2 linked regions of the Arabidopsis thaliana genome follow. The protein of the gene in region 1 interacts with the protein of each later gene in a pairwise test. Each region holds a gene or a part of one and is shown in the gene's direction. Other genes may lie near its edges. The genes, in order: EXO70B1 and SNAP33.

Region 1 (16,292 bases):
CTCCCTTACTTGGAATCAAATGAAATGTTATTTTCTTTTCTTCATCTGAAAAAAATGATCATTTCGATTTAAGCGATTGACATTAGGATTTCGGAAATCTCGCCATGCGTAGCAAGTATCTTCATTATTAACTAGTGGACACTTGGCAGATTGTCAGCTTATGTTGGAGATGCTGCTGGAATTTGAGCTTCACTAAGAGCTGTTCTTTTATTTTAATTGTTCATTTCAGGACACACTCCATGAGTACCTTGGCATGATGATGGCTGTCCAAGGCGCATTTGCAGATAGATCTAGTGCTTTACTGACAGTTCAGACGCTTCTATCAGAGCTTCCTTCTCTGCAAACTAGAGTTGAGAAGCTAGAGGCTGCATCATCGAAGGTATTTGGTGGTGACAAATCAAGGATCCGAAAAATAGAAGAGTTAAAAGAAACAATCAAGGTCACTGAGGATGCAAAAAATGTTGCCATCAAAGGGTATGAGCGAATCAAGGTATTTAGTAATAACCCTATGCATATCACAACTTGTGCTGTTTTACCAACATGATATGAATATTTTGGTTATGCTCTGTGTAAATTTGTATCATTGCAGGAAAACAACCGATCTGAGGTTGAGAGGTTGGACAGAGAAAGGCGTGCAGACTTCATGAACATGATGAAGGGTTTTGTTGTTAACCAGGTACGTTATTATTATGCAGCACATTAACATTAGAAGGATGATGCCTTTCTTAATTGCCCAATAGAGTGAAGAATGTGATAAGGAGATTGTTTAGTTTAAGCACAAAGTGTGTGATTTCATTCTTAGTGAGATTTCAAGAGTGGAGAAGTAGAATAAAAAGATGGCATTCATGGGTCTCTTGTAGGCAAATGAAAATGAGTTCTTTTAAAGATAATGCGGTAGAAGAGAGGATAGGAATATATAAATTTGCTAGTAATCAAAGAGTCCAGAGTTTTAAAGAAAGAGTTGTGTTCTTGAATTGGACGCAGGTTGGATACGCAGAGAAAATGGGAAACGTCTGGGCAAAGGTTGCAGAAGAGACCAGCCAATACGATAGAGAGAAGCAGAGCAGCTAACAAACACAGAAAAAAAGAGAGTGAACGATGTTCATTTTGGCATAACCATACCAAATCCATGTATGGCACAGAATCACATTGCGTAATAATGGTTTGTCAAAAAGTGTAGTTTCCTTTTTCATATGTTGTATCTATCTTGATAGAGATTGGTAAACGTTCTTGTTTGTTTTCTTTAGTTGCTGTAAATTAGTTTTCTAGAAGCATCTCTGACTACAGCTGCATTGACTCATACCCATTGTTTTCTGGTATATGCCGCCAAAGATATATCTGATAGTTTGGTAAACGTTCTTTGTTTTCTTTAGTTGTTGTATATAAGTTTTCTAGAAGCAGTTCTGAGTTCTGACTGCGTCTGCATTGCCCTCATACCCATTGTTTCCTGGTAAGTAACAACCAGTTCGTTTTAGTGAGTTGACCGAGAGAGAAAATGAACCATCGAGCCACCAATCTTACTCGTAAACCGGCCGGTTTATCTCCTAAAGCGAGACCAATGAGGCAATGACAGAAAAGTCACGGAGACGTCAATATTCGCGAAAGGGAAAGATTTCACAAAAAGACAGCAGAAATTATCGCAATATTACACGCCCATGCCATTTTCAAACAACGCGGCCAGGTCAAAGATCGCGTCTGTCTTAAGGGGTAGTTTCGTCATTTCGACAAGTTTTTTCTATCCATCCAGTCTTCTTCCTTGCTTGGAACTTTCTTCGTCTTCGATTCCCTTCCTTGCTTCTTTCCCCGTCGATCTCGCTGTGTGACCTTTTTATTTAGTGACTCGAGATTACATAAAATCTTCTATACACTGGTTCCACATCTGTTTCAATCATGGCGGAGAATGGTGAAGAGAAGTTACTTGCTGTTGCGCGTCACATAGCCAAAACACTTGGCCACAATGAATCCATGGCCGATGATATCTTACAGATCTTCTCCAACTTCGACGGCAGATTTTCTCGCGAGAAGCTCGCCGAAGGTCAAGCTGGAGAAGATGGATCCGGAGTCGCCACACTCGAGCGAGCTCTAAATTCAATAGACGGTCAGATCTCTCGCTTTGTTGCTGCGGACCAACCAATTTGGGCTGATCCTGCAGATTCAGCTGCTTTCCTCGACACAATCGATGAGCTCGTTGCAATCATTAGAGAGTGGAGTCCCATGGCTTCAGAGAAACCTATCGGCATCTGTCTAACACGCGCCGACGATATGATGCAGCAAGCTATGTTCCGCATCGAAGAAGAGTTCAGGTCGCTTATGGAGCGTGGAGCTGAGTCTTTCGGACTTAATCCTCAGGGAGACGCTGGTGCGATGAATCATCGTTTCGATTCTGAGGAAGAAGAAGATGATGACAGAGACTTCAACAACGGTGATGATATTCAGATCCCAGTGGCACAGCCACTCACTGACTACGATCTTATCATTGATGCTCTCCCTTCGGCGACAATTAACGATCTACACGAGATGGCTAAGCGAATGCTTGGCGCTGGATTTGGTAAGGCGTGTTCTCATGTTTATAGTTCTTGTAGGAGAGAGTTTCTGGAAGAAAGTATGTCAAGGTTAGGGTTACAGAAGCTGAGTATTGAAGAAGTTCATAAGATGCCGTGGCAGGAGTTAGAAGATGAGATAGATAGGTGGATCAAAGCTGCTAACGTTGCTCTAAGAATCCTGTTTCCTAGCGAACGTAGACTCTGTGACCGTGTCTTCTTCGGTTTCTCCTCTGCTGCTGATCTTTCGTTTATGGAGGTTTGTCGTGGCTCTACCATTCAGCTTCTGAATTTCGCAGACGCGATTGCTATTGGAAGCAGATCGCCTGAGAGATTGTTTAAAGTGCTTGATGTGTTTGAGACAATGAGGGATTTGATGCCTGAATTTGAGTCTGTGTTCTCGGATCAGTTTTGCTCAGTTCTTAGAAATGAAGCAGTAACTATTTGGAAACGGTTGGGAGAGGCGATAAGAGGTATATTTATGGAGCTTGAGAATTTGATCCGGCGAGACCCGGCTAAAGCTGCGGTTCCGGGCGGTGGTCTCCACCCGATCACTCGTTATGTGATGAATTACCTCCGTGCGGCTTGTAGATCCCGGCAAACCTTAGAGCAAGTGTTTGAGGAAAGCAATGGTGTCCCTTCTAAAGATTCAACTCTGTTGACTGTACAGATGTCTTGGATCATGGAGCTTCTAGAGAGTAACTTGGAAGTAAAATCTAAAGTGTACAAAGATCCAGCTTTGTGCTATGTGTTTCTGATGAATAATGGGAGATACATTGTTCAGAAAGTCAAAGATGGAGACCTAGGATTGCTGTTAGGAGATGATTGGATTCGGAAACACAATGTCAAAGTGAAACAATACCATATGAATTATCAGAGAAGCTCATGGAATAAGATGCTGGGGTTGCTGAAGGTGGATAATACTGCAGCAGGCATGAACGGTTTGGGGAAGACCATGAAGGAGAAGCTGAAGCAGTTCAATATTCAGTTTGATGAGATATGTAAAGTGCATTCGACGTGGGTAGTGTTTGACGAGCAGCTGAAAGAAGAGCTAAAGATCTCACTGGCCAGGCTTTTGGTACCGGCATACGGGAGCTTCATCGGCAGGTTCCAAAACCTTGGAGACATAGGGAAAAACGCAGACAAGTACATCAAGTATGGAGTTGAGGACATAGAGGCGCGTATTAACGAGCTGTTCAAAGGGACTACCACGGGAAGAAAATGAAGGTAACGAACACAAAAATAGCCTCTTGTAACATCTTCGTAACGAACCACCTGCTAAATGACCAATAGCGAAGTCTTGCAGGGAGGATTTGTAACATGTATTGTGTATCCTTTTAGACAGTTAGCTCAGCTCTGTTGTGTTGTTGTGTAATGTTGTATTGTAACTGGATCACTTTTTTTGTCATTGTAAAAAGAGAAAACAGTTGAAAAAGATGACATGTTAGGGACTTGGATCTACTTCTAAGTCTTGAGTGCATATTTTATCAATATGTTCTTACATCTAAGTCTTCCCTTTTAACAAAGGAGTCAACACAAGATTTTTCATTATTTTACTGATTCTCAATAATTGTGTAACTATCACCAAGTAACCATAACCAACTAGTACCAACTCTTGAAGATAGTAAAAAACAAGAGAGGACACAATGGATATTTGATGTTTTTAACTCTTGAAATAAATAATATAAGAGAAGTTTCAAAACTGAGCAGAGTACCAAAAGAAACGAAGTGAGTCTAGGAAATATGAAACGTCTAAAGAAGCATAACAAAGAACTGAAAATCACAAAATTAAGCAGCCTGTTGACTAGCAAGCCTCTTCCTGGCCTCCTCGATGATAGTCAGCTTGATACCTTTGCCCTTGGGAAGAGACACCCATGGCTTTGTTCCTTTGCCAATGGTGTACACATTACCCAACCTTGTTGCAAACTCATGTCCTGTTGAATCTTGGATGTGGATTGTCTCAAAGCTTCCCTTATGCTTCTCACGGTTTTTAATCACACCAACACGCCCTCTGTTTCTACCTCCTGTAACCATCACAACATTGCCAACATCAAACTTGATGAACTCGACAATCTTGTTGGCCTCAAGGTCGAGCTTGATGGTGTCATTAGGCTTGATGAGCGGGTCAGGGTAACGGATGGTGCGACCATCGTAAGTGTTCAGGTAAGGAATGCCTTTCTGTCCAAACTGGATAGATCGAACCTTGCAAAGTTTGAACTGTACAAATAGAAGACATAATGTTAGAACACAACATATCCCCATCATGTCAAGTATCACTCTAAAAGACAACTAAACAATGACAAGAGGAGAACAAACCTTTGCTTCCTCATCCTTGATGGAGTGGAGACGGAAACGTCCCTTGGTATCATAGAGAAGACGGAAGTTCTCATTGGTCTTGGGGATAGACACAACATCCATGAAACCAGCAGGGTAGGTCTTGTCCGTCCTGACTTTCCCATCAACTTGGATATGCCTTTGCATCAAGATTGAAATCACTTCACGGTAGGTAAGAGCATACTTCAACCTGTTCCTGATGATAAGGACGAGGGGAAGGCACTCCCTTGACTTATGTGGTCCAGAAGACGGCTTTGGGGCCTGTGTGGAACCAGAAATGAACATACTTATTCAAACAAACCCAAGAGATATATATAAAATTGAATCAAAACTGAGACAAGAAGAGAGAGAGTAAAAGACATACAAATGCACCACCAAGTTTGTCAAGCATCCAATGCTTAGGCGCATTAAGCCTCTTCAGATGCTTCTTCAAACCCCTCGCCTGTAAAATTTAACAAAATAAATGTTAAGAGATGTTATTATTAAGGAAATCTCTACTGCTATGTATATCATCATCATGACCTAAATCAGCGACACATTTGAGATCTAATGAGCTCAGATCTAAGGAGAATCACCATGATGCATATAATATTCACAAGTTATCGAATCAATCAAATTGCTAACAAAACCCATTCTCTAAGTCACTCTAACACAAACCCACCAGAAACGAGAGTCGAGTTAAGGAACTATCTAGATGTAAACAATCACTAAGCTCAGAAGAAAGAGATAGAGATTAGAGGATGACGAACCATGTTTTGAGTTTTGCAAGCGTAGCTCCGATCCGAACTACCTGTTGTTTTCTTAGAAACAGCTCCGAACCACTTGAGAGAAAAAGTGAGAGCACGTACAAAACCCTAATTGGCCATTTATATACCCTCTTCCAACTCCATGATGTTAGGGTATTATGGGCTTATTAAGTGAGAGGCCCATTTATATATATGGGTAGAGATTTGTTGTGGGTAAAAAAATATCCAGCCAGGCCCAAACTCGAAACGAGCGTGGCCATAAAAAAACTAAATTCAAATACTGAACGGGTTCTGGGATTTATGGGTTAAATGTTAAAACCTTCATGTGTTCCGGAATTATCCGTCAGTATCTATTTATTTTCTGTATTTTGCATTAGATATTTATACTCGGTGTCATACGTATTTAAATTTTTTTCTTCTAGTATCATATATACTAATATTATGAATTGTACATATAATCATGTATTTTATATTTTATATAAACAACTTTATTTGTTACCCTTAATTGATTTTAATTCTCTACTTTCACCAAAGTTTTTAACAAATTTGTAAACCCAATATCCACTCAAACATTAATAATTTAAAAGATTATACAAATCAGAGTTTCATCAAAGTTTCGCTCAAGCATTGGTGTCTAGTTTTTTTATATAATAAATTTACAATAGTAATCACAAAATCAATATAATTTCCAAAAAGTTAAACCCACTTCCTGTCTTTCTTAAAGAAAAAATAACACTCAAAATTGTAAAGCTAAGTTTTGATATCTAATATTTATAGTTATCATATTTGTAAAATTTAAAATTATGATTTCATATCATCTTTGTGTGATCATATTTCCAAATCATTATTTTCATCAAACCATCAAGATCTAAAAACGTTTTAGTTGATTTTTGACAGGCACAAGAACCATGTCTAACTTTATTCATAACTAAGTCTTCAATCAATTATAACATTCTCAATACATCGATATTGGTATGAAAATCATAGATCATATCATGATATAACTATAGAAGTGAGTAGTTTGGATGAGAATTAAAAAAGAGTAGTAGGAGTGGAGCAAGTCTTCGAACAAGGTTCCATACAATCTGCGTCATTGCCACATTTGGTGTTACAATTTGTGGAGCATATAGCGATCTTGCCTTGTTTTGCCTTTATTGCTTTGTATCAACAAAAATTAAGTCCACGTATATATATCAGTATAATATGTTTAATCAAATATTAAGTAAGGAAATAATTTAAGAGGAATATATATGGAGTACTTACTTGAGAGACGGTGGTGAAGGAGGGCGTTGGTCGGGATCACAAACGGCAAAACAGTGGTCCTGACACTGGTAATTATCTTTACCGCATTTGATCATGCAATTTTTGTAACACAATTTCCACAGATGCTCTTTTATTGTTTCATGAGAAGCCATTCCATTACATGCTTTTAGAGGACATCCAATCATTATCAATGCCACCATCACCATCACCATCATACACATTTTTCCTGCCATTTTCTCTTACAAACAGATACAAAACTCAAAAGTAATATTGATATTCGTTGTTTGTTCTTTGATATATGTGAATGCGATGGAGGAGAGTTTATATATTTCGAAATATTCTTTTTATTTCTAGTCTTTGCGTTATAATAACGAACGTTTTTTTTGTTTAAATTGCAATTAATAGCTTTGACTTATTCTTCTTACGCCATTTTGGAAACAAACTGGGATTATTTCTTTCCAAGATATATCAAAAATCCCATCATTTCTTAGTGAGGACGATTTCGAAGGACGTTGCACTTTATTTTTTAATTTCAATTATTTGTTTCCTTTATTATTACAACATTTAGTTGTTTTCTTAAATTTAAATATATGTTTCCTTTTGTATTTTCTCATTTACCTCCGCGAATCCCCAGCTTAAATATATTCCTTTTTTTTGGTAATGTATTTCTATGTGTTTTGGTGTCTGTTAAGATATATGCATTGACCATAAAATAAAATAATTAAAGGAAAAAAAAAATTAGTCACCCAAATCTTTCGCTTATTAATTAGCTTGTATTCTCGACCGGGTCTACTACATGTGTGTGTGTACCCGAAGTAAATTTCTCTATTTATTACTTTTCCAATTTTCACATATGATACGGGTATATGTATATCAATGGCAATGCGGTTCCACCTAAACCCTTTTATTTTCTTGGAAAGTAAAACCTAAGAACGTTAAAGAGTTAAAGCAAAACTCACAGACTAATGTCACAAAAATGTATATCCTCAGCTATTGTATTAGCAAGGAGATTGGCACAAGGGGCAGAGTTTCTTATTAGACGTGTAGAACCACTTGTCTAAACATGCTTTGTGAAACTTGTACTTGCAAGTCACGCAAGCTCGCCTTGGAAGGCTGTGATTCCCTATGTGTATCACACTGTAACATATCGGGCAGTCTTCTACTCCTTCAAATTCCTTGTCCGAATTTCGCTTCCATATCCTTATCGCCTCCGCCAGAGCCCCATTCTGCTTTCAGTAACAACACATTAGAAAAAGAAGAAGAAGAAAAACATTCAATCAAGACAGGCACTCAATTTGGGCTTAGATGGAGAGGACAAGATTAATCATATATGGTCTACATGATGGAACTGGAGATATCATTCAGGTTAACAAAGATCGATATGACTCATAAAGTACAGTACCTGATGACGAACAAACATTTGCATAGACATCAACCACTTCCTCTGCTTCGCTTCGCTTATTCCAATACTTTTTGCGCAATTAACGTCAACAGGCTTGAGTGGGTAAGAAACTGGAAGCCGGATCACGAGATCCATCCCCGTTTCATCCTTCGTATATGTAGCAACTACCTCATTTGCCGCTTTACTTATGCTGACTGAAAAGCTCTCATCATTAAAGTCTGCCTTCTTTATCTGCGGCTCACATAAACAATGAACAGAATATTTGCAAATGCATTAGTGGATCTTCACTGCAACTCTCAGAGATGAGAAAAGGTTTTTTATTGTACATACCTGAGACAGTTCGTTCTTGATTAGAGATGGGCTGCACCACGTTCTTGTAAATGCTTCAATAAGAGATGATGCAGAACGGTCACGCATTTCGCTAAACCATTCTCTAACATAAGCTGGAAGGACACGTAACATCAGACCATATATCGCCCCAGCAAGCGAAGCCATCTTTCCAGTTTCAATAGGCCAAAGTGATTCAACCGTTGACAGGGACGAACCCGTAATAATCGCACGAGTGGCTGCTGAAGCTACCACAGATAACTCAGACGGAATATCCCCATCTTTTTTCTTCAAGCTCTGTCCCATGTATAATTCTAGAGGAATGTGCTGAAAAAGACTATCTAATATCAACGGATTTGCAGTTTTTTCTATATATTGCACCAGTCTCTCTCGTCCTTGGGTTAGTGAAGGTAAAGAGTTAACATTGGAGAGTAACAAAGACCACGCCAGGAACGTTTGCACCTGCCATTAAAAGTGATTAAACAGTGAATGACTTGCCCAAAGAGGGAAAATAAACCAAATAAAGCTTTTGAAAAGTAAGAATTACCCTTTCTGGCGCAGTCAAGTCCGTATCAAGAAGTTCATGATCTAACTTCTCAACCATACAAGATACTTCATCTCTTAGCAGTAGCTTGTCTTCAGATGGTAAACCAGCATTGCTTGAGTCCTGATCATTGAGAGACTCATCATTCAGTGGTGCATTCAAATCAGCAACTATGGCCAGCCTGGAAATAGGTTCGGTAGACAAAACAGTGTATGCAGCAAGTTGCAATGACGGGATTGGATTGGAAGAGAACATTATTGCATACAAAGAGCTTATAGATCCTCTGCTTAGTCCCCAGAATTCCACTGCTCTGACAGCTCTATCTCTTGCGCGTGGAGAAGAGTCTACTACAAGGTGAGCTACCAGCTCCCAGAACTGCAGATGATCAACTCGAAATGAAGCAACAATAGATGCTGCCTCTGGGGAATATGAAGCAGCAATAGCCTCAGTAAGACCCGTGCAGAAGAAAAGACGCAGAACACCTTCAAGTATTCGATCTTTAACAGGATCCCATGTTTCATCTGCCAAGGATTTCAGATTGTCTTCACCTTCAACAGATTTATGGTTTACTAACGCATTAAGCAACGAAAATGCTGAGAGAGCATTCTGAGCACTGTTTATAGAAGGATCAGAGATAAAAACTATATGCCCAAGTCCTTCAAGGGTATCATTCTCCTTCTCCTTCTCCATGGAAGAAACACCACTAATGAAGTCGTTGACGTTCTCGGAAGTTTCCTCCATCACAACTACTGCAGATTGAATCAGACGCTTCAGATTAGAAAAGACAAAATCCCAATCATCCTCGTTAAAATCGTTTCCACAGTAACTAACTGCAATCATAATTAGTCTTGCGAGCAGAATTTGCACAGCTGGAAGTTGGGTAACTACAGTTGATGCACCAGGATCTTGCTTTTGTTTGCGGAACAAGTCAAGCAGGAGCGTTCTCTCTTCAGTGCTCAGATGCCTCTGTAGTTCCTTTGCTTCTTCAGCTTTATCACTTACGGGATAACAAGAGATAACAAGCTGAAACCAATCCTGTATATCTGATAAAGACGGGGGAAAACAATAATGAGCTAGGCATGCAAAGTAAAAGATAAACAACAAAACCTTAGTCTTAAATTGCTCCCTAGACTGTCCATCTGATGCCAACTATGACCACTTCTCAGATGAGGACTCAGGACTATCACTAAGTCAATGTTATTTCATAAGTAAATATACTTGTTCTACATCCACACCCGAGCCTAATCCTCATTTAAATCTAAGCATTGTTCATAGGTTCAAGATGAGACTACAAGCACCACTTTCAAAAAAAATAAAAAATTAATCGGTCTTTACCTTCCCCACTTTGCCAGAGCACCAGAGGAGGAAACGACAAAGACCTCTCCAGCCAATTTCTAAGCAAAACTTCCAGTGGTAGCAGAGTATCTTTACCAGAACCACCAGATTTTACTTTTGTACGTAATGGTGAGATTATTATGCTCATAATGTAAGGAATAATTCTCAAACAGTTTTTGCTTGTCTCTTCCCCTATGAAGAGTTTATCTGTGATCATTTTGAAAGCAGCCATGGCTTCTTCTTCTCCCCAAAGGTCCTCCTTGAACAAAATGTGAAGGAATGACACTAGAGCCCTCAAAAATGGTTCAACGACGTCCACTATGTTATTATTAAAGTCAACCCACATGTTCCCTAAGCCCTCTTCCTCATCCTTTACATGCACAAGAGCACCGTTGAGTAGAATGTCAAAAATGGAATTTAGTAAACCTCCACTCGATGGTTCATCCTTACAAAATGATACAAGATTTGGCAGGAAAGAAGTCTGAACTTTACCCCCTGGCCACTCCCACGTGCAGAGTATTTCTACGGAAAGCCAAGCTTGAGAGGCAAACCCATGATCTTTGTGGCCAACAATAAATCGGTGAATTCCCAATTTCATGATCAGGCTGTCAATGAAAGAAACATATCTTTGACTTTTCGATTTCCTCAATTCGCACAACTGAACAGGCATACCATGGGTATCTATGCTAGCTGACGAGCTGGGGCTGACCCAAATAGGCCACGCATCACTCTCAAGCAGGAGCAGGCCACAGATATTCTCTTCATCGCTTTGATCCAATGAGAGATATTCTAACACTTCGGTCATCCTTGAAGCACACAATAATGTAAGTTCAAAAGGTTGCAGATCATCCTCAAGTAGGACAACTGACCTCAGGAACTGAGCCAAAGTGCTTGCTGAACTCTTCCGGACATCATAGTTTATAGATTTCCAGAATTGATTATCCATCTTAGAGCAAACGGCATGAACATAATCACACACAAAATTCCGATCCTTTCTCTTCTCTTTGGACTCAGATAGCGTATTGTCCACTAGTGATGTCATTCTATTCTCTAAGTCAATGATAAAAATAGAAGACAATACAGTTGTAAGTAGGGTTGCGTCCTGACTCAGAGACTTCAAACTGAAGAAACTACCATCAATAACTTCAGCTGCAAACTTAGCAACCACGATCACATCTACAGAACTGCTCGAATCAAACGCTATAGCCTCGACAATAAGAGACGAACATGTATCATTGACTGAACATAATGGTGACTGTTTGATAAAAGATAGCAGTTTTTCGAGGATCCCTCTATATATCAAGACCAACGAGCTTCTTGACACAAAAGAAATACTGCTGTCTTGGGTTGAACCACCCAGAACTGAACTGCATACAAAAAAAATATAGAATAAGAACTGGGAACAAGCAATCAAGCAACATAAAAGACTTGACTGAGATATATAAATGCAAAATATTGATACTATTTATAGATATATTGACTAACTTACCACAGGAACTGAACAGCAGAAGTTGTAGTCGCTGAGGAGGAATGGACAAGACTTATAGCAGTTGATTCTATGAGTGTATGGTGCCAATGTTCTGGCCGAGAACCTATTCTTTGATTCAACTCCTGTCCAGAACTTCTTTTTGTAATTTCATCCCTTGCCTTCTCTAAAAGCATTTTCATAGCAGCCAGGTTATTGAAGCCCTGATGTTGTTGATTAAATACATAAGAAATGACATCACTCCACTGCTGAGTGAAACATTCATCATCAAGCAATGAAAATAGGAGATCTTGTCTAGCTGCAGTCGAAGAGTCATATCCATCCATACACCAAGGAATAAAAATTTCTTGAAAAACTTTAATAAGCTTCTCCGGGCTCATATTCTTCTCTTTTTCAACAGAGAGAAGGGTAGAAGTCTCTATATCATCAATTAGCACTGGAACTACCTTTCTTGGTCCAAACACCGATACTGAAACTGACAAAAGCTTCACACCATCTAACAATTCCTGAAAAGATAAATACAGCCACACAGGTTAGTCAAGTAAAAACATCATATGATCTACTATGAAAAAACGGGGTAACAAAACGTGGACGATAACTTACAGATGATCTTATCCACGGGAAAGCCTTGGACAGCAGTGGCCCCATAAATTGATGCAAGGGCCAGCTCTCACCTTCCAAAACTGAATATCTCTCCAATAACAAGAGAAAATCAATCATTTTTCTCATGCTTCCCGCAACTATCTCTAAATCTCCCTGCTGAAGCATATTCAAGAAGCTCTCTTGAACAGCTTTACAGAAAAAAGACAGCAGGTTCTGTTCAAGTAAATTAATCCCTGATAGAATTTCTAAGATGCATCTTCCTAGCTCTTGCAGATAACTAACTGAATTACCCATGCCAAGATTTTCAGCTGACTTCCTCTGATTAGGTGGAATGCTGCCCTTAGATAGTTCAGTGAAGTCCGCCCATAGAATCTTCACTAGGACTTTATCAATTAGATCAACCTGGAGATCATGAATAGAATTGGGAACATCGCAATACCTTGAAGCATTACGTAATCCCCAGAGGAAACATTCAGTGGTTGCCCGAAGAAGTGATAACTGATCCGTACTTGATGATTCACACATACTCCTTCCAGCCAATAAGTTTTTGAAAAAATTCACAAAGAACTTATCACTTTCTACAGATTGTGCTGGCATAACTTCGAGGAACAATATCAGTGCAGGATAAGAAACCTGTGGGGATCCATAGCACCCGTTCCTCAGAAACTGCCATAAATGATTTAGAACAGATTTATGAACATTTAAGTAGACCCAACTCTGAGGAAATTTTTTAGAGAACAGCAAGACAGCCTCCCACATTGATGAGTGGCAGGTTGGATTATTTTCTCGAAAAACACCAAGCAGAGCTGGTGCAAGACTTCGGACGTCGCCTTCGCCAAAGACTTCAGGAACATTTTTAATGAAGCTGCTTAACAAAGAATAAGTCGCTGACCGAATACTAGGGCTTTCAGATTTTAGAAAGTTCAGAAAGCATTTATGGGAAGAGAACATCTTCTCAGCTGAGGAGGTTGCTACTGCCCTAGCCTTTGAGGCAAGTTTTGATTCAGAATTAATGTTTGCAGAGCCAGTATTATCGGGTTCGCGGAGCAAAATATCTAGAAGTGTAGCCAACCCCACCAGAGATGACGATATCATCTGAAAACAATGGAAATAAGACATGGTAAACGAAAACCCAAAGAAGGAAAAACTTCACCATAGCAAGAAGAATCACCGAGATGAAGTACCTGCTGGTACATTTCTTCTAATTCATCTGAAGCAAGTGATTTATCAGATAAATTTTGAGGTGTAAGTTTGAGATTTTCCTCCAGATAAGCAAAAATCTCAGCTGAACATAAATTCAAGGCGTGCAATCTCTTTTCCTGGGCAGGGAATGCTGCCTGTTTAAACAATAGACAGCTAATTGAAATTCTGAATATTGATGCTATAACAAAGTGCCCCCTGAGCAGAACTAAAAGGTTACTGGTCTAATAAAACGACAATAGAGTTTATAATAGAAAGCGGGGCATTCAAACATAAAGTAAAATAACCTCCACCAAGAAAACTGAATTACCAAACGAGGAGCCAACCTGGAAAGACGACTTTGCTGCTTGAGAAACTTCAGATGCCAAATCAAATTGCGAAAACCACCAGGGCCCCATTATAGACTTTAGATGAGGAGCTATATCTCTCCTGAGTAACACAAAGAAACAAAGAATTAATACAGAATCAGATAATAGTGGGAGAAAACATAGAATAGAAGTATGGCATACATGCTAAGACAATATCATCAAGACATAGTTCCTACATGACACGCTCAATATAGACAAGCTTCTACAGCACTTAGCAAACGAATCATTCCAACAAAATATTGATGATAATTTTGATATTGATGTTAGGATAACCTCAAAGCTAAATCATATCACTCATGACACAAGAAAACTACATATATCCAGGTGAATGATACTAAAAGAAGAAGAAGTAAATGAGGCACTGCATCACGGCAAGAAAAAGGGCATGCATTAGAAAATTGAGAGTCAAACCCGGCACCAGTGACAACATTAGTCATGACGTCATGAGTAGCTCGCCGAACATCTCGACTGTAGTCCAGTATCAGCTTCTTGTACTCAAATGTCTGGACAAGTAAGAAAATATGAAAAATATAGTCAACCATATGTGGAAAATGAGCAACCAAATGCACTGAAAACGTAGGAAATATAGTGATCAACATTCTGCAAGACAAAGACTAATTAGAGGTAATTCTATCAGTGAGAGTCATATTCCCAATGCTGATTAGCCTATCTTCAACATCTAATCTAATACAACTTCTGAAGCTACAGTTTTTCTTCTGTCTAAACATCTAATTAGAGGTAATTCTATCGGTGAGAGTCATATTCCCAATGCTGATTAGCCTATCTTCAACATCTAATCTAATACAGCTTCTGAAGCTACAGTTTTTCTTCTGTCTAAACATTACCCATTGTGGGATTATTGGCAAAAGTTCCTTCCCTTGCTTCTGCTTAACCAGTTCTGATAGGGAAGCAAGAGCTTTAATCTGTAAAAGGGTTGAAACAAACAAATCACAATCAAGAACAGCTCTTGTAGTCGATTGGATAATCAGAGAAGCCATTACCTTTGTTGTAGGATCCTTCCTTGAAAGCCTTTGCAAGTGTTGGGCAACCTCACTATCCAAATCCTACAATCCATTAAAAAAGATGAGAGATTGGCAAACACACAAGTAAGCAGACGGGAGAAACATACCAAGAAGGAAGCAGAGTCTTCGTTTGACAGAGAAGTTTGGAATCTAGAGCTACCGACATAGCCCCCAAAACCTACGGCGGCTGCAGAGCCAGACGGCAACAGAGAAGCTGCCAAGCTGTTCAGAAGAAGCTCAATTCAGTACCGAACCAACGAAGCATAGACTCAAAAAACAAAAGATAAAGTCGGAAGAAATTAAACGTTAAGAAGAGATTAAAGGAACAAATATGACCTGCTGCTAGATGGACGTGCTTTGCTTCTTGCAGCATCTCCTTTGGGTTTGCCCATCTCCTTCTCTACTCTAGACAGAAAAGCTTCAGATGGGTCTGATCGGTCTAGCAAAGGAGTAAACAGGTGGAAGTCAAGAGTCGGAGCGGGAAGGCGGTGGCGATTCAGTCGTCGCCGTCGTAGAAAGAGGTAAAGAGAATTTGTCGGATATTACCCACCAATAATGGGCCATTAGTATTGGATTTGCTTAATTTAGGCCCAATTATTTATGGCCCAACTAAGAGGAAGGTCGCGTTTATAAATATTCACAAAAGTTCCTCTATATTTTAGTTTGTTCCTTATCAGACCCAGATTTTCAAATATCAATAATTTGAGTGGATGAGGGTGTGAATTATTCCGTAGTCACTAATTCTGTTTCTTATTTAAATATGAAATCATGTCAAAATATAACATCAATTCGATTATGTACATTTTGAATTTAGTAGTATATATCATCATTTGTACTATTCATGATGAAAGTTTCACAAAGTGAGAAATTCCCAAATATAAAAGGTTTACAGAGTCTCTATATACCAAAAGAACTCTATAATCTAATCTGTTGAGCCTACTACACTATCCTATAAAAGGTTTACAAATTTCATAAATATCTTTTATGATCCGAAAAAACAAAATTACTCATTATACCAACGCTAGAAAAGAAAATGTCAATTCTACATACCAACTCTAAAAAAAACCCATATTAAAGGTTCACAAACAATATAGAATTATTTTCTTGAAGAACTGTCGTATA
Region 2 (16,488 bases), 1.0 Mb from region 1:
CATAATGCGATTAGAGTTTGTTAATTCCCAAACTTGTCTTTTGAGTCTCATCTTTAGTTGTTGGTTGAACAACTTTTGGTTTCGGTTTTCATTTAGTCTCGTCTGTGTTTTTGGATAAAAGCCGAGAGCTGAGCCCACGTTGATAACTTTTTTTTTTTTCAAAAATTGGGAACCTAGTAGATGATGATGTGAAGTGATAATTACTTAAACGTGATTATATATATATATATATATGTGGGAAATAATGTTTTACTGGAATGTTGATATAATAGTTTTGACAGTTTTTTGTACTCTTTAGCTGAAACCATTTTCTTAATTGATTTTTGTTGTCAGTGTGCTAATGTCATTGGTGTAATCAAACCCGAAGCAAAATCGAAAACCTTCCGCTGTAAGCTTTGCCAGGTCGATTGCTCGAACGAAGCTATGTATAATGCAAGTCATATTTCAGGGCGGAAACACAAAAACAAACTTAAAAGTCAAGCTAATCTGTTTCTTTAATTAAATTTAGAGTAATAGATATAATGATCTTTGAGGTCTATGGATTTTTGGTAAGGAATAATTTGAGCCAAATTTGAGCAATTTTGATTATCGATCGTACAAGTTGTAGTTTTGTTGCTCCGGAAGATTTCAGATTTTGATGTAAATTTAATCCCACAAGTTATAATCATTTTTGTAGTTTATGGAATTGAAATTCTAAACATAATTGTTCTGACAAAACTTGTATTTTTAATACAATTTTGAAACTCTGCACATCCAATTATTTTCTTTAACGTGCATGCACCGATTTATTTAGTAGCCTTAATTTTTTCTTATTAAGAAAAGATCCTTTACTAATTATGACACTTATTTTCGCTAATTACCGATGGGGAGATACAGCCCCCAAAAGTTACAACGGCTATTTTCAAATGCTGATTGGTGCCTTTTCAAATGCTGACGTGGCTTAAATAATAATTGTCGAAAAAGTAGAATACTGTATTTAACTTGATCGTACTACAGAGGACAAAATAAAAAAGCAGACTTTGCGAAAAGCGAAAGGTTTCTTCGTCAACATGGAAAGAACTTAGTGGAAACTTCTTAAAACTTAGATTGTCAGATTAGCATAACTCACCTTAGCAAGCTCCGATCTTCGACGAGATAGTGAGAGGAGTAAAGAGTAACTTTTGGTTCAGAAACAAGTGTCTCTTCTCTCTCTAGTATCTCCGGTGATGTCGACGGCGGAGGCGGATTACGTGAAGGCCAAAACATCGGTGTGGTGGGATATAGAGAATTGCGAGGTACCCAGAGGTTGGGATGCGCACGTGATTGCCTTGAATGTGAGTTCGTCTTTGTTGAAGATGAATTATTGTGGACCTGTCTCAATTTCAGCTTATGGCGATACCAATCTCATCCCTCTCCATCATCAACAAGCACTTTCTTCTACTGGTGTTGCGCTTAATCACATCCCAGCAGGTGTACTTCTCACAAAACCCATTTTGTGATTCGTCGTTGTTTAGATGCTTTTGTGGTTTTTGTTCTTCTTGGATTGGGATTTTGTTTTGTTGATTTTGTGTGTTTTTTGTTTGATTTTGGTTAGGTTATTAGTTATGTATTCGTCCTGGATCTGCAATTTTAGGTTTTTACTTTCTGTATGTTGAATTGGGTTTCTCCATTTTGATTTTGGATACTGTGATTATAAATCTCAGTTTTTAAGTAGTTTTCTAATTGTGGAAGTATATGATTGGGTTTGTGGTGTTTTGGTGGTTGGAACAGGAGTGAAAGATGCGAGCGATAAGAAGATTCTGGTGGATATGTTGTTGTGGGCAATAGACAACCCTGCGCCAGCGAATTTATTGCTAATCTCTGGTGACAGAGACTTCTCTAACGCTCTCCATCAGCTAAGAATGAGGAGGTATAACATTCTTTTGGCTCAACCTCCACGAGCCTCTGTGCCGCTTGTTGCTGCTGCCAGAGATGTTTGGCTCTGGACAGTCCTAGCCTCGGGAGGTCCTCCTCTTACAAGTGTTGAATCCTCTCTACTCTTTAACAATGGGGGTTTTCGTGTCTCTAATAAAGGTGTGTCGAAACTTCCAGTTTCTGAACAAGCTCAGCCTAGCCAACCAACTGGTTCAACTTCTAACGCTGGAGATACTAAGGATCATAAAACCAGAGAAAAGCATGTTCCAAGAGGATCACTTCAAGAAAATAGAAAAAATATGCTTCAGCATAGCAGTGGAGCCACAGGGGAATCTGCTACTACCTGCAGAATATGCAATGTTGTATGTGATAGCTTTGAAAAGTTCACCGCTCACCTTTCAGATATAAGGCATATATCTCAGGTAAATTAATATCTTGCTTGTTGGTCTATCTCTTCTTGAAGATGAAATTGTATGGTAGCTAGAAGGAATAGAAAAAAAATTGTTTGAATTCTTTGTGCAGGCTGCCATTGTAGAAAGTCGCAGAGCTCAGGCCAGCGTTTCAGCCAAACCCATACATCAAGCAGTTCTTGTCGAACCTTTGTTGTGCAAAGTTTGCCAGATCAGCTTTACCAACAATGATACATATAAAAATCACACCTATGGAAAAAAACACCGAAACAATTTGGAACTGCAATCAGGTAAGTCCAAAAACATTTTGGTGGGACCAGCTGAGCCTTCCAAAGAGGTTCTAGAGAAACATAATATGAATAAGAAGGTGATGATTGAGAGTAGAGCTCAGGCAAACGCTGAATTCGTTTGTCTTATGTGCAATGTGGTGTGCCAGAGTCAGATTGTCTTTAATTCTCATCTGCGCGGTAAGAAGCATGCCAACATGCTGAGTCAATCAGAGGCAAGTTTCTAACTTTTGGTTATTCGAGAACTTGTTAATTTATAGCAATAGAAAATTTGACAGCTTGGTAAAACATATGCCTGACCTAAAAGCATTGGATCAGGCACTCATTGTTTCTACAAAGCTTCAAGAGAAAGGAGTCGGAGAAAAAGAACAACCAAGTGAAACAGTTGCAGAGCTTCAGTTGCAGTCTCAAAAGGCTCAAGAGAAGCAGGTTCCCATGGTGAATCAATTAGAGGCAAGTTTCTAACTTTTGGCTATTCGATTATATGGAATTTTTATTAACATCGATAAGTTGGCAGTTTGGTAAAACATATGCCTGATATTATAGCTTTGGATTAGGTACTAGTTGATTCTAAGAAGCTTCCAGAGAAAGGTGATGAAGTAAAGGGTCAACCAAAAGAAATGACTGCACTGCGTAATGCAAGTGCTAAATACATTTGTCGTATGTGCAATGTGGGGTGCCACAGTCCAATTGTCTTTGAAACTCATCTAAGGGGTCAGAAGCACGCTGCCAATCTGAATCAATCAAAGGCATGTCTCTTACTTTTGCATATTTGAGAGCATATAAAAAACTACAGTGTGGTAGACATATGCTTTATGTAATACCGTAGGATCAGGCACTCATTGATTCTAAGAAGCTTCAAGAGAAAGGTTTCGGAGAAAAAGAACAACCAAGAGAAACAATTGTAGAGCCACAGTTGCAGTCTCAAAACGCTCAAGAGAATAGCAAGTGTTTCGAAAAGCATGTTGTCATGGTGAATCAATCAGAGGTCAGTTTCTTAATATTGGTAATTTGGTATTTTAATTTACAATTTCCAGTGTAGCAAAACATATGCTGAATATGAGAGTCTTAACTGTGGTAAAATATATAAAGAATGAAGCTTATATAGTTGCATCAGGTACTCATCAATGCGAGTAAGCTTGAAGAGAAAGATGCCCAAGAAAAAGCTCAACCAATAGAATCAATAGCCGAACCTCAGTCGCAGTCTCAAAACACTCAAGAGCATACCAAATTCTTTGAGAAGCAAAACGAAGAGTTGAGAAAGATTTGTGGCACTTTAGAAAGCAGTGTAAAAGAACCTCTTCCAAGTACTAAGGACTGGGTGGAGACTCTTAACAAACAGATTCCAAATGGAGAATTTTTCTTTGGTGACCTAAGATCTGATTTTGAAGTACCCAGGGAAGCAAGGTAATTTTTGCTAACTTGGATTTGCTTGCTTAGTATGTCAAAGATGCAATTATCTAAATGTATTCTCCAACTTTTGTCATAGTGAATGTTTTGATGGCATTGTCAAGCCTGTAAACCTTTCCAAAGGAGAAACTAAGCATTCATGGGAGGTAAAGAAGAAGAAAATCGAGGTGACCGTACGCCATGCAAGACCAGCTGCATCTAAACTTTGTCATCTTTGCGTAGTGATTTGTGATAGCCGGGGTTTGTCAACAGTTGTTTGTGATAACAAAGCTCATTGGCCGAACCAAAAACATACTACTGTAGTGACACTTACTTCATGTTCTACCTCTTTATCCTTGATCAATATCAAACCCTTCTGACTTCTTATTTTTGATGTAGGCCGCCTTTGTAGCCAGCAATGGTTCTCAGTCCAGCGTTTCAACCAATCCTTTGAAGGAACCAGAGGGTTTGCAGCCCGTGTGGTGCCAAGTCTGCCAGATCAGCTGCAACAGCAAGGTTGCATTTGCAAGTCACACATATGGGAAAAAACACCGACAGAACTTGGAATCACAATCAGCCAAGAACGAAACTATGTCTACTGGACCAGGCAAGCTTTCTAAAGATTATGGAGAAAAAACGAAGAAAGTATCATGCAAAAACCAAACCACATTTGATTCTCAACTGAAGAGTCAGAACCATTATACCATGGCGAAGGAGCTTGTAGAGGTAAATCTTACTATTTAGGTTTTCTTTCGTGAACTTGGAATCTGCTTTTAGTAATGAATATTACAAATCTTAGTAAAAATAATATCCTTAGGTTTGATTCCTATCGAAAGTGATGAAGTATATATTAGACCTTAACTAAAATATCGATGTAGAAGGCATTTGTCTCCGCATTTGAGCATGTCTCCGCATTGGAGCAGTTCAGTATTGTTGACTCAAGGACAATCCGAGAAGACACCGACCAAGAAAAAGAAGCAACAAAGGAGCAGACACTTGTAAAGATGGATGGTAATGGGTTTCGAGGGGCACCAGAAGATAAAGTGGAATTGAACCAAGAAAAACATAGAGAAGCACTGGAGCAGTTCAGTATTGACTCAAGGATAATCCGAGAAGAAACCGATCAAGAAAAAGAAGCAACAGAGGAGCAGACACTTGTAAAGATGGATGATCTTGGGTTTCGAGGGGCACCAGAAGATAAAGTGGAACTGAAGGAGAGACACACCGTATCTGAGAACTTGGTGCACCGTGTCTTCACTGAACAGAATCGAGAGTCTAGAATACCCAATGAACCGAGGTAAGAGCCAACATTCATGGGAGTGTATAATATGGTCTCTCTCTCTCTCTCTTTCTCTTGAATCTCGATCAATATGTGTGTGTCTAACTGGTTGCTTGGATTTTGGGTTACAGAGGATGTTTAGATGTGATTCCTGAGAGAGTAAAACTGCCACCAAACGTGAATGTGGCCAAGAATTTGGAAGATGAGCAGAAGCATAAACCCGAACCAAAAGCACAGGAAGCCGAAAACAAGTCTGGAGGACGCAAGGATCTTCCTGGAGAGGCTGCCAAAAGGGAAGAGATTAAGGGCCAAGCTGATAACTTTTGGACTCGCCTTTGGGGGAAAAAATATTAAAATAATGTGAATTGTTAATTCATGTTTAAGTTGTCAACAATGGATGTTTTCTTTTGAATGGCAGATTAACGTTTTATTTTGGATTGGCTTTTGCTTATTTCTTACTGTTGTTTCTTATATATAAACTTTACCTCTTAAAAAAGATTCAAGAACAATAGAATTTAGGCATTGTAGTATATAGGTTCTCTCAATAAATTGGGAAATAACGACCGGTTTTTCCAACAGAATTTTCGGCTTAGTCTGTAATGTAATCATCAAAAATTGCATTATTTGCTTTACGACTACAGCTCAACTGGGCCACCCTGATTACTTATCCGACCCGGCCCGACCCATCCGGATCTTCCTTCTCTTGTTTAAATTAAAGCAGATAAAAAGGAAACTGGAAAATTCAGTTCAAGTATTGTCGTCGGAATATTACTCTTCACCGGCCAGGTAAAGCTTTCCTACGACTATGCTTGTGTTCGTCGGAATGTGTTTTTCTTTCTTTTTCTTATAGTCTCTGGTCGCTAATGACTCGTATTCTTGGTCCAGTTTTCAGCTCTTGTGTGTAAATTTGTTAGTCTTTTTTAATGTCGAGTAATTGGGGAAGTAGCTCGCGAGATAGCTCGGGAAGTAGTTCAAGAAGCGATGTTGACAACTCGTTTGATGCTGACGAACTTTTACAGATTGGTTCAAGATGTATGGAGGTGAATCTGTTTTTCTTTCTCTATATCCTTTGTCTCAGAGATTGATGAAGTTCATATTTTTGGCTTTATGATCTCATGTTTTCATTGTAATTGTAGCTACGGAGAGAAAAGGAGATGCTTAGAGAATCTCAGTCACAGAGTGTTGAACTTGTCAGAGTATGTTCCTCTTGTGTGTTTTAGACTAGTGAATTGATTGTTCAAACTTTTTCTGAGATTTGTTGTCTTTTTTTTTTTTACCCTAGAGGTTGGAACTGAATGCGAATTCGTTGTCAGAGTCTCGTTTAGAAGATAAGAGAAGAATTCAGATGTTGGAGAAAGAATTGTTGAATTGCTACCAGGAGATTGGTAATGGAGAGATTCTCATGAAACTGAAATCTAGGCATATATTTTATATGAGCTAAAAAACACTTTCTTTGTCTTTCAGATTATTTGCGGGATCAAGTAAACTTCAGAAGCCAGGAAATGAACGACCTGAGTGAACATGTACTCGATCTTGAAGTCAGAGTAACTAAATCAGGGAAATTGGAAGAAGAAGTTAACTATTTGAGGGAGGAGTTGTGTTCGTCGAAATCTGAGCAGCTATTGTTGTTGCAAGAACTGGAGAGCACAGAAACTGAGCTACAGTTTTCTTTGTTTTCTGTTGAGAAGCTGGAGGAGTCGGTCTCATCCTTAACATTGGAGTCTCAGTGTGAGATAGAAAGCATAAAACTTGATATAGTAGCGTTGGAGCAGGCGCTCTTTGATGCTCAGAAATTTCAAGGTGAAAGCATCCAAGAAAACGATAAGTTAAGAGAAATAGTCAAGGAGCTACGGTTGAACTCTCGAGAGGCAGAAGAGAATGCTGAGTGTTTAGAGAAGCAAAACAAGGAGCTGATGGAGAGATGTGTAGCCTCTGAAAGGAATATCAAAGACTTACGTCAAAGCTTTAGAGGAAGGTTGGAAAGTGAAAGTGAAGCGCCTGTAAATCCAGATTGTTTCCATGACATCATCAAGAAATTAGAGGTTTTCCAGGATGGGAAACTGAGAGACAAAATGGAAGATATGGCAAGACAGATACTTCAATACAAAGATCTTGTAAAGCAGCTCAAGGTATTAGTTACCAAACAAAACAGTAGAATCAAAAATTTGGTGCCTTTTTGCAGCGTCACACATATTCTAACTAGTTAAACCATTATTTTGTTATGCCTAAGGATGAGTTGAAAGAAGAGAAACTAAAGGCCAAGGAAGAAGCAGAGGACTTAACACAAGAAATGGCTGAATTAAGATATGAAATGACATGTTTATTGGAGGAAGAATGCAAGCGGCGTGCATGCATCGAACAAGCATCATTACAAAGAATAGCCAATCTAGAAGCACAGGTACTTGCTTCTTTATATCTTCCAATTTTTTTATTTTTTTTGAGCCATCAGATATTGTTGAAGGAACCTAACAAATATCCATTTTCTTGTTAAGATCAAGAGAGAGAAGAACAAGTCCTCAACTTGCTTAGTTCCTCTTCCTGCTGTATAAACCAGCTAAGGTTCGAGTTAAACTTGAAATCACAGTTAATGCCTCAAATAAGCCTTTAAGCTATAAGGTTTGAATTCTTATGTATTTAAAGTGTACATAATCCAATTTGATTGGAAATTGGAATATAGATTTCATCCCTGTGATTATGTTTATATATGGAAATTGAGTTTTACAAGAGTGAAACTGCTTCTTCATGTGCCTACCAAAAAAAAAAACTGCTTCTTCATGTGGCTTCTAAGTGTTTAATTACGCCTTCAGCAACATGTAGAGATCTTGAGAAATTGACATGAGTCTCTAGAGAATGTTGAAAGCTGTGGTCGTTGACCAAGAAGATTCTTACTATTTGACTCTATTTGATAGGCCTGTAATGAGCCTAGGTCAATAAGGCTGAGTTTATTTGATGGCCCGTTTTTCTCTCTTTTATTGTTCTTCTTTTTCTTGTGAAAATAAAGAAATCTGGAAGCGTTGTTGTATCATCATGTATGTGCAGAGTCTAGTAACCTTGTTGTTGATGCAAAGGGATAAATGAATGGGTCAAGGAAAAGAACCTGTTGTCTTTATTGTTAATCAAGACACTTGTAGATTTGTTGTCTAACCTAATCCAACTTGACTTTAAGCAAAAACATATTCCAACTTGTTCTTCACCAAAATGATATGTTGAAATATCGTATCTACTAGGACATCAAGATTTTGTTGTAGTCGTTATCAATGTAACCGGTAACAAATAAAAATTAATGAGATAAATTAGGCATGATCATATCCATAGATATTGTCAAACAATTTTCTATCTTCAAGTAGTTTTTGGTTTTGGGCGAAAATATGTTCTCTTTGACAAATTCAACAAAGACCATTCTTTTTGGATGACAAAATTGACAACTTACCCATTCTTTTTGGGCTCATACAATTTATCAACTAAACCATCAGTACAAAAAAAGAAGCAGAAATTAGAAAAATATAAGAAAATGACTCTTTCTCTGTAAGAAAAAATCCAACTACGTTTATTATATCCACAATTACGTCCTATATACAATTAAAAAGATCTAAATTGCTCTATTTTCGTTAGAAAGTAGTTACTTTTTACTTTTTTAGAAGTTTGATCTAGAAAAAAAAAGAATTATATATATGACCGTTTTAGATTTGAATTAAATGATTTTGTTTTATTTATTAATTGATCCACGTTCCTTTCTACAATTTGTTTTTTTTTTAATCTCCTTGATAAATTTTCGTCAACACATACCCAAAGACCTCCTTGTTGTACTCTCAAATTCTTGGGTCGTTCTGAGTCGTCTCCGCGTTAAATCTTTTCCCTTTTTGATCCTTTCTTCCTTTCTTCTTCTTCTTCGCATTGATTTGGTCCTCCTTCCTCTTCTATTCTATTCATTAAGAACCTAATCTTCATCTTCTCCATCTTCTTCTTCACGGACTCCACTTCGCTCATCCAGGTAACCACAATCTGCTCTCTATCTTTTGCTTCAAAATTCTCAGTTCCTTTCTTCTCAATTTCCGTCTGCTAGATCCTGGGCTTTCGATTTGTTCCGTTCCTCTTCTGCGATTGTTTCGTTCCAGAGAGAATTATCGAAATAATTAAGCGAATTTTGTGTGTGGTTTTCATAGTCTTGGGTTCTTTAGCCGCTACATATACTCAATTATGCCCAAAATTAGGTTTAAAATTGATTAACTAAAACTTATACTTTTTGGTCTCGTCTTATGTTATCGTTTAAATTGTTCTTAGAAGTGAAATCATTCGATGCTACGTTTTTGACTTGTTGCTTTACTTTATCTATACCTTTGATTTGATCAACTTTTCTCTTAGCTTACAAGTTAGAATCAAAGCATCAATCCTGATTACTGTTTTGGTTTCTGCAGGAAGGTTTATTAGTAGTAACCAATCCAAGTGTTCCTTTTGTTTGAAGCAACAAGCTTTGTGATATTATCCTGAGAGACAATGTTTGGTTTAAGGAAATCACCGGCAAATCTTCCCAAGCATAACTCAGTCGACCTCAAGTCTTCCAAGCCAAATCCTTTCGATTCAGATGATGAATCTGACAACAAACATACCCTTAACCCTTCTAAGAGGACTACCTCTGAACCCTCTTTGGCTGATATGACAAACCCTTTTGGTGGTGAGAGAGTTCAGAAAGGAGATAGTAGTTCATCCAAACAGTCATTGTTTTCGAACTCCAAATACCAGTACAAGAACAATTTCCGTGATTCTGGTGGTATTGAAAACCAGTCGGTTCAGGAGCTTGAAGGTTATGCTGTGTACAAGGCTGAAGAGACTACGAAATCTGTACAAGGTTGTTTGAAGGTAGCAGAAGATATAAGGTCTGATGCTACCAGAACTTTGGTCATGTTACACGATCAGGGCGAGCAAATCACTAGGACGCACCATAAAGCCGTTGAAATCGACCATGATCTCAGTCGTGTGAGTTTTTCTTCCTTCTGGTTCTTGATTATAAAATGGAAACATTCAATCTTTTTCTGAGGACATTAGTTGGTGTGAGATAAGAAGACGGTAGACATTTGATGCTGAAACTAGTTGGATTTTTGGTTTTCAGGGTGAGAAACTTCTTGGAAGCCTTGGAGGCATGTTTTCAAAGACTTGGAAACCAAAGAAGACTCGTCCTATAAATGGTCCCGTCGTAACCAGAGGTTTGCTTCTTGGTCATTGATATCTCAATTCTTCTCGCAGCTATTTTACTTTCACCTAATTGCTGAATCCTTTATTTTGTGTTTTTGCTTAGATGACTCACCAACGAGAAGAGTTAACCACTTAGAGAAAAGGGAAAAACTGGGACTGAACTCAGCACCCAGAGGACAATCAAGAACCCGAGAACCACTCCCCGAATCAGCTGATGCTTATCAGAGAGTGGAGGTTTGGACTTCTCTTCCCTCTCTTCAATTTTTCCTTTCATAAGAACATTACTATACTCCTGCATCTGATATGAGTGATGCATGAACTCTTTATCTGTGGTCCTGTAATGCTAACAATTTGAGACATTGATGACTCATCAATGATGAGCATATATATCTGAGTGAAAAACATGTGTTTTGGACGCCACTAAACTTAATACTGGTTTATTACAGATGGAAAAAGCTAAGCAAGACGATGGGCTTTCAGACTTGAGTGATATACTCGGCGAGCTAAAGAACATGGCTGTTGACATGGGAAGCGAAATCGAGAAGCAGAACAAAGGACTTGACCATCTTCATGATGATGTTGACGAACTCAACTTCAGAGTGCAACAATCAAACCAACGTGGTCGCCGTTTGCTTGGAAAGTAGATGAACAGAGGGTTTATATGTTCATTACACTCATTCCTCGTTTGTTTTATTCTCTATGAAGTTGTTCTTTAAAACTGGAAAGATTCTTATCATGTTAAATACATTATTGCTATCTGTGTTTGTATTTGATCTTGTGACAAAAAACCAAAAAACTTATTGATCAAACAGAAGCAACTTTGGTATCGTTTTTATCTGTATCATAAAGCTTTCTCAAGAAATTCTGATAATAGATGAAATTATGAGTTTTAATCTCAGATTTATAACCTAAAAATATCAGTGCTAGAATACGACATAAGAATACAGAAACTCCAGACAAGTTGGAACATATGTTATGCAACAACTGCACAATCATGTGAGATTATTCAAAAGAACAAAAAAACCAGGAACTCTTCATTCCCTTTAGTCTTCCTCAGCTACAATCCAAGGGATATATTCCACAATGTCCTCTTCTTCACTTGTATAATGTCTGAAGCCATAAAACACAAAGACTACTAATGAGAACTAGACAAAGCAATCTGACATAGTTGGAAAGAACTATGAATAGAGGAAATAATAATCTCATACAAACACCACTTGTTCCCGAATCATATTCTCAAGCCACAAACTCGACAATCAATGAATATAAAGTGGCTCCAACATGACCATTAAAAACAAATAGCTTTGGAGGATATTGTAATGACAAACATACATCTACTGAAGCTTGACTTCCATGATGTTCTTGGTCTTGGGAGGATATGCCAAGTAAACCTTGAGCACTCTCTCAGCAACAAAAAGCTGTTTTTTAGCTTCAGCATAAGCCTCAGTCACCTTCGATGGGTCAGTGAGATTCTTGTTCATGCGGAAGCCATCCAAGGTCCTTCGCTTACTGTACTCCCTAATGTTGTAATCAGGGAATTGACGTCCCGCTCGAAGCAAGGCACGACATAGGCTAAGAACTTCACTACTAGACACCATTGCAAGATTGGAAACTAACCCTTAATTATACAAAGCCTGGTTAACTGCAATCAGTATAAGAACACAAAGAAGCTGAGATTAGCAATGCCGAAAAGGAAGAGAAGTAGTCAAGATGATCAAGGGATAAAGCTATACACTTCGACATGTAACAAGAAGTTATATAGATAAGTGAAAAGTATTAAGGACCAGTACATCATTTATAGAGCAAAAGAACCTAGATTCAGTAACATTAGTATATAGATAAGTATTGATTTGAGTAGTGTATATAAGGTATGAGAACCAGTTGCTGCAACATTAGAAACTAGGCACTAGAGTTCATGAAAATACGCAAAAGAACCAATATTAACTAATCGCAAACGCTTAAAACAATCAAGAAGAAACCTTAAAAGGCCATAAACGCACTTAGTAATCCTAAACTTCAGTAAAATGGATGAAATTGCAGTCACAGCCAAAAGAGACAATACATCTGAATCATGAGAGGATCCGATAAGCATAGAATTTGACGATAACGAGCTCCAGATACATATACATACCGAATCAAATCGTCGGAGAGTATTAATTTCCCGAGCTCGCCGTTGAAGTTCTCCGTTCGAAGGTTTTGATAGCAGCAAGCTGGGTCGTTCGGGGGAATAAATAAACTTTTAGGTTTACCCAAAACTAAACCGGGAAAACTGATTTGGGAACCGGATCAATTTTAGATTGAGTAAGAAAAGAACCGGTTTTAGAATGGGCTAGACACAAAGGCCTGTTAAATTGGGCCAATATGTGATAAGCCAGCCTTTTTTAATGAAGGTGTATGAGCTGGCATATTCGACAAGAAATAGTAAACAAAACCGATATTTATCATTCTCTGTCACGCCTTCTTCCTTCTCTACACGAATTCGATTCTCTCTTATCTCGACGAGAAAACCCTACTGCGAAAAAACTCCGATCTCTCTGGCGAGAAGTAAATTTTTATCTCTGAGCTTGGTTTCACCATTTCTCTATCTCTATCTCCTCGCTGGGTTACGGTACGAGCCTCTCAAACTTTTCGATTCCTTGTGTTCATAAGTATGTGTGAAAATCCTTGCGTGTCGAGATTGATTTTTCTCTTTTTCGTTTCGGATTCATCGTTGGATTCTTATTTCGTCAATGTTTTTCTGTGATTTGTTCTGATTCATGTGTAATTTGTAGCTGACTTGATTGGTGATCGATGATTAAAATTTGTACTCGTTAGTTCCCCCTTGATTCGATTGATTTTGTCTCTGTGAGGGTATTTTTTCTGATTCTATTGTATTGTTTGTAGATTTGCCAATATTAGAGACTACAAGTGTCGTAATTGGATTCTGAATGAACTTTTGAAACTCTACACGAGCTGGATTGTTGTGTTATTTATATTACAGAGAAATTTATAGCATTTTTGTTGTGTTCATCTGGTTTTCACTAATTTGGTTTTCTTCTCCATCTTTTGTTGATAGGTTTGGTAAGGTCAGTGTTCTCTAAGGCTGAAATTTGGGGGTTTCTCAGTCTCGATGTGGTCGTGCTCCGTTAGGATTCTTCACAATCATTAGGGTTATATTTCTTACAAACTGATGCTCATTTTCTCTTCCCTGTCTATGGCTTTATCTGTGATCCTTCAAAAGCTTAGTGTCTTCGGCCCTGGTTTGAATCCTTCTTTCCCTTACTGCATCGCCAATCACTCCTTTGCCTCCCGTTAATTGAGTTGCTCTCTTTCAACTTAATTACATTAGTCTGCTTCCTTTGCTGTCTAGTCTGGATAGTGTTGCAAATCAAGTAGTATCTTCTTTAGACATTCTTGGCTGAGAGATTTACACTAAAAGCATAGAATAAGAAACCCCTGTTTGGTTAGTATCTACCCGAGTCTCGTAGTCCTACACAGATCCGGATCCTAGTTTCGAAGCTAGTTCTTGTTTAGCTGAAGCTCAGACCCAAAATGCTCCAAGAACCGTCGGCTGCATTCTCCCTCCGGCGTAACTCATTCAGACGCCGATCTCCCAGATCAAATGTCGATGACAGAGGCTGGAATCCGCTCCATATCAAAGCCAGAAAAGGCGATCTGAAATCTGTCAAGCAGCTTCTCGACCAAGGAATGGATGTGAATGCTCTAGCATGGGGACCCAAATCAAAAGGAGTGAGTGCACTTCACCTTGCAGCAGAGGGAGGTCACATTGAAGTCATGGATTTACTCCTAGAACGTGGGGCCAACATTGATGCTAAAACATGGGGCTCATGCGGGTGGACTCCTCTCCACGCTGCAGCCAAAGAGCGGAAGAGAGAAGCAGTGAAGTTTCTGGTGGAGAACGGCGCATTCTTGGCAGATGATATAACTGATACCAGGTTTAATCCGCCGGTGCATTACTGTCACGGCCTTGAATGGGCGTACGAGGAAATGAAGAAGCTTAACAGCGAGTCTTCTTCTTCATCTGGTGGAGACACATCTTCCAGTTCTGACAACTGAACTTCTTCTTGGTTGTTTCTCGGTGTGTTTTGTTTTGTTTTCTAGTTGAGACTACTTATCAGAACTATTATGGTTGGTGTTTGATCTTATGGGCTATGTGAAACATTGAAACTGCGGATACATTCATGTAATCTTCAGTGTGTTATTTTGCAACTCCAGTTTGATATCCTAGCCGAATTTGATTTGTTTAACCGGTTCTGGATCAACCAAAAATATGAGATAATCGGTTTTGGTCTCTTATGAATCATTAAGTCTAAAAATTAATGCAGGTAATTGACATAGTGTGATTTAACATAATTGACATGGATATGTATATAGCTAGATTGCGAGGATGAAGCAAAGTTTTGCTCTTAATTGAGTTAGCACCATATGTTTCTAATCATTGTCATTTGTGTCTTAGGACATGTTTAACTAATTAAGGTAAGGAATGCAATAATTTTACACAAATGACAATTATTTGGTCGATACCCATTAACAAGATTGGTTCTATCTCTTCAATGAATGATTTGGTCGATACCCATTAACCAAAAAGAAAACATCCGGATCATTACCAGACCCGTCGGTGAGATAGCGGGTTTGAAATACACGGTATTCGGTTTACGAATCTCAGGAGGAGGAAGAGAAAATAAAAATGAGTTTTTTAATTTCGCTCTCTTCTTAGATCCCGTTTGTTCTCTTTCTCACTTTGGCTGTTTAAGCAAAAACCATGGCTTCTCGCTGTGAGCTACTTCTGATCTGCGTCTTCTCTCTCTTAATTGCTTTTGCTCACTCCAAGACATTGAAGCGAGATGGTAAGTTTTTACTTTAATCACCCTCTGGTTTTGTGTTTATGATCGATCCTCCATTGATTGAATTTGTATAGCTCTTTAACAGATTTGGTAGATACCCATTATCCAGATTCGTTCTATCTCTTATCAATTTCCATGATTTAGCACGCAAGTTCGATCCTTTTTCTTTCATCTATTTCTAATCTGAGCTGAGCTGAGCTCAAATTGAGAAATATTAATTATGTGTGAACAATGATTGGATCTGATACTATTGGTCTCAAGAAGTTTGTTATATCTCTGCATCATGGTAGTTGGTTACTACTGTATCTTTTATAATCAGCTTTCCTCAAAGTTAATCTCTTGTGGACAGTGAAAGCTTTGAATGAAATCAAAGCCTCTTTGGGATGGAGAGTGGTGTATTCATGGGTTGGTGACGATCCTTGTGGAGATGGAGACCTTCCACCTTGGTCTGGTGTCACGTGTTCTACACAAGGAGACTATAGAGTTGTCACAGAATTGTAAGTTCTGGTTTCTTCTCACTTTAGTGTTTTCTTTTGTAGCAACCTGATTTGCTTCACTGAATTTGATTTGCAGAGAAGTTTATGCGGTTTCGATTGTTGGACCTTTCCCCATTGCAGTAACAAACCTTCTGGATTTGACTAGACTGTAAGTTACTTTCTAAACCTTTTTATTTGTGACATTAGGTAGATTGATGCAAGAACTCTTTGAACAGATATTTCCAACCTAGTTTGTGAAACGAGATCCCCAATAATTCTTTAGAGTTATGCTGTTTTAAGATGGTTAAATTGAAACTGGTATTGGTTTCTTTGATATTTCAGGGATCTACATAACAACAAGTTGACTGGTCCAATCCCTCCACAAATTGGACGACTGAAACGGCTGAAAGTACTGTATGTTCCTTGTGCTCTCACAACGATATGAATCATTGATTTACTTCCTTTCAAAGTTTGTCTCAATAAGTTGTTCTGAGACCAAACTCAGGATCCAATTCTCTTCAGAGTGAACTTAGCACTTACGTGACAGAAGTCTGTTATTTGTGCCATCATAACATGTCAAGTTTCCAAATACTTCACCTAAACATTTACTCTGTTGTTATCACTAGAAACCTGAGGTGGAATAAACTACAAGATGTGATCCCTCCCGAGATTGGGGAGCTGAAGAGACTAACCCATTTGTGAGTACCTTAATGTTTCTTT

Evidence for each region.
Region 2: the proteins of EXO70B1 (region 1) and SNAP33 interact in a two-hybrid assay, tested with the Arabidopsis thaliana proteins (one study listed by BioGRID).

The regions. Positions count from the first base shown.
Region 1 is NC_003076.8:23,608,933-23,625,224, reverse strand, and holds EXO70B1 (exocyst subunit exo70 family protein B1), read left to right. Parts: upstream 1-1,681; 5' UTR 1,682-1,890; coding exon 1,891-3,765; 3' UTR 3,766-4,073; downstream 4,074-16,292. Other genes in the region: SNX2a (sorting nexin 2A), read left to right, coding at 230-490, 590-676, 985-1,071; AT5G58420 (Ribosomal protein S4 (RPS4A) family protein), read right to left, coding at 4,329-4,757, 4,857-5,135, 5,239-5,316, 5,624-5,626; AT5G58412 (Putative membrane lipoprotein), read right to left, coding at 6,729-6,777, 6,884-7,116; AT5G58410 (HEAT/U-box domain-containing protein), read right to left, coding at 7,882-8,109, 8,286-8,516, 8,616-9,074, 9,160-10,199, 10,492-11,858, 11,981-12,483, 12,581-13,675, 13,765-13,917 and 6 more. UniProt on the Arabidopsis thaliana protein: Component of an exocyst subcomplex specifically involved in autophagy-related, Golgi-independent membrane traffic to the vacuole. Regulates autophagosome formation and autophagy-related Golgi-independent import into the vacuole.
Region 2 is NC_003076.8:24,614,275-24,630,762, forward strand, and holds SNAP33 (soluble N-ethylmaleimide-sensitive factor adaptor protein 33), read left to right. Parts: upstream 1-8,973; 5' UTR 8,974-9,249; exon of another isoform or gene 9,250-9,469; intron 9,470-9,673; 5' UTR 9,674-9,752; coding exon 9,753-10,232; intron 10,233-10,365; coding exon 10,366-10,459; intron 10,460-10,551; coding exon 10,552-10,682; exon of another isoform or gene 10,683-10,894; coding exon 10,895-11,092; 3' UTR 11,093-11,357; downstream 11,358-16,488. Other genes in the region: AT5G61190 (putative endonuclease or glycosyl hydrolase with C2H2-type zinc finger domain-containing protein), read left to right, coding at 1,206-1,449, 1,750-2,315, 2,416-2,805, 2,909-3,043, 3,148-3,339, 3,420-3,578, 3,699-3,997, 4,080-4,299 and 3 more; AT5G61200 (myosin heavy chain-like protein), read left to right, coding at 6,182-6,298, 6,395-6,454, 6,541-6,643, 6,723-7,387, 7,489-7,656, 7,751-7,807; AT5G61220 (LYR family of Fe/S cluster biogenesis protein), read right to left, coding at 11,783-12,046; ANK6 (Ankyrin repeat family protein), read left to right, coding at 13,980-14,504; AT5G61240 (Leucine-rich repeat (LRR) family protein), read left to right, coding at 15,211-15,295, 15,642-15,789, 15,866-15,937, 16,111-16,186, 16,274-16,308, 16,395-16,466. UniProt on the Arabidopsis thaliana protein: t-SNARE involved in diverse vesicle trafficking and membrane fusion processes, including cell plate formation. May function in the secretory pathway.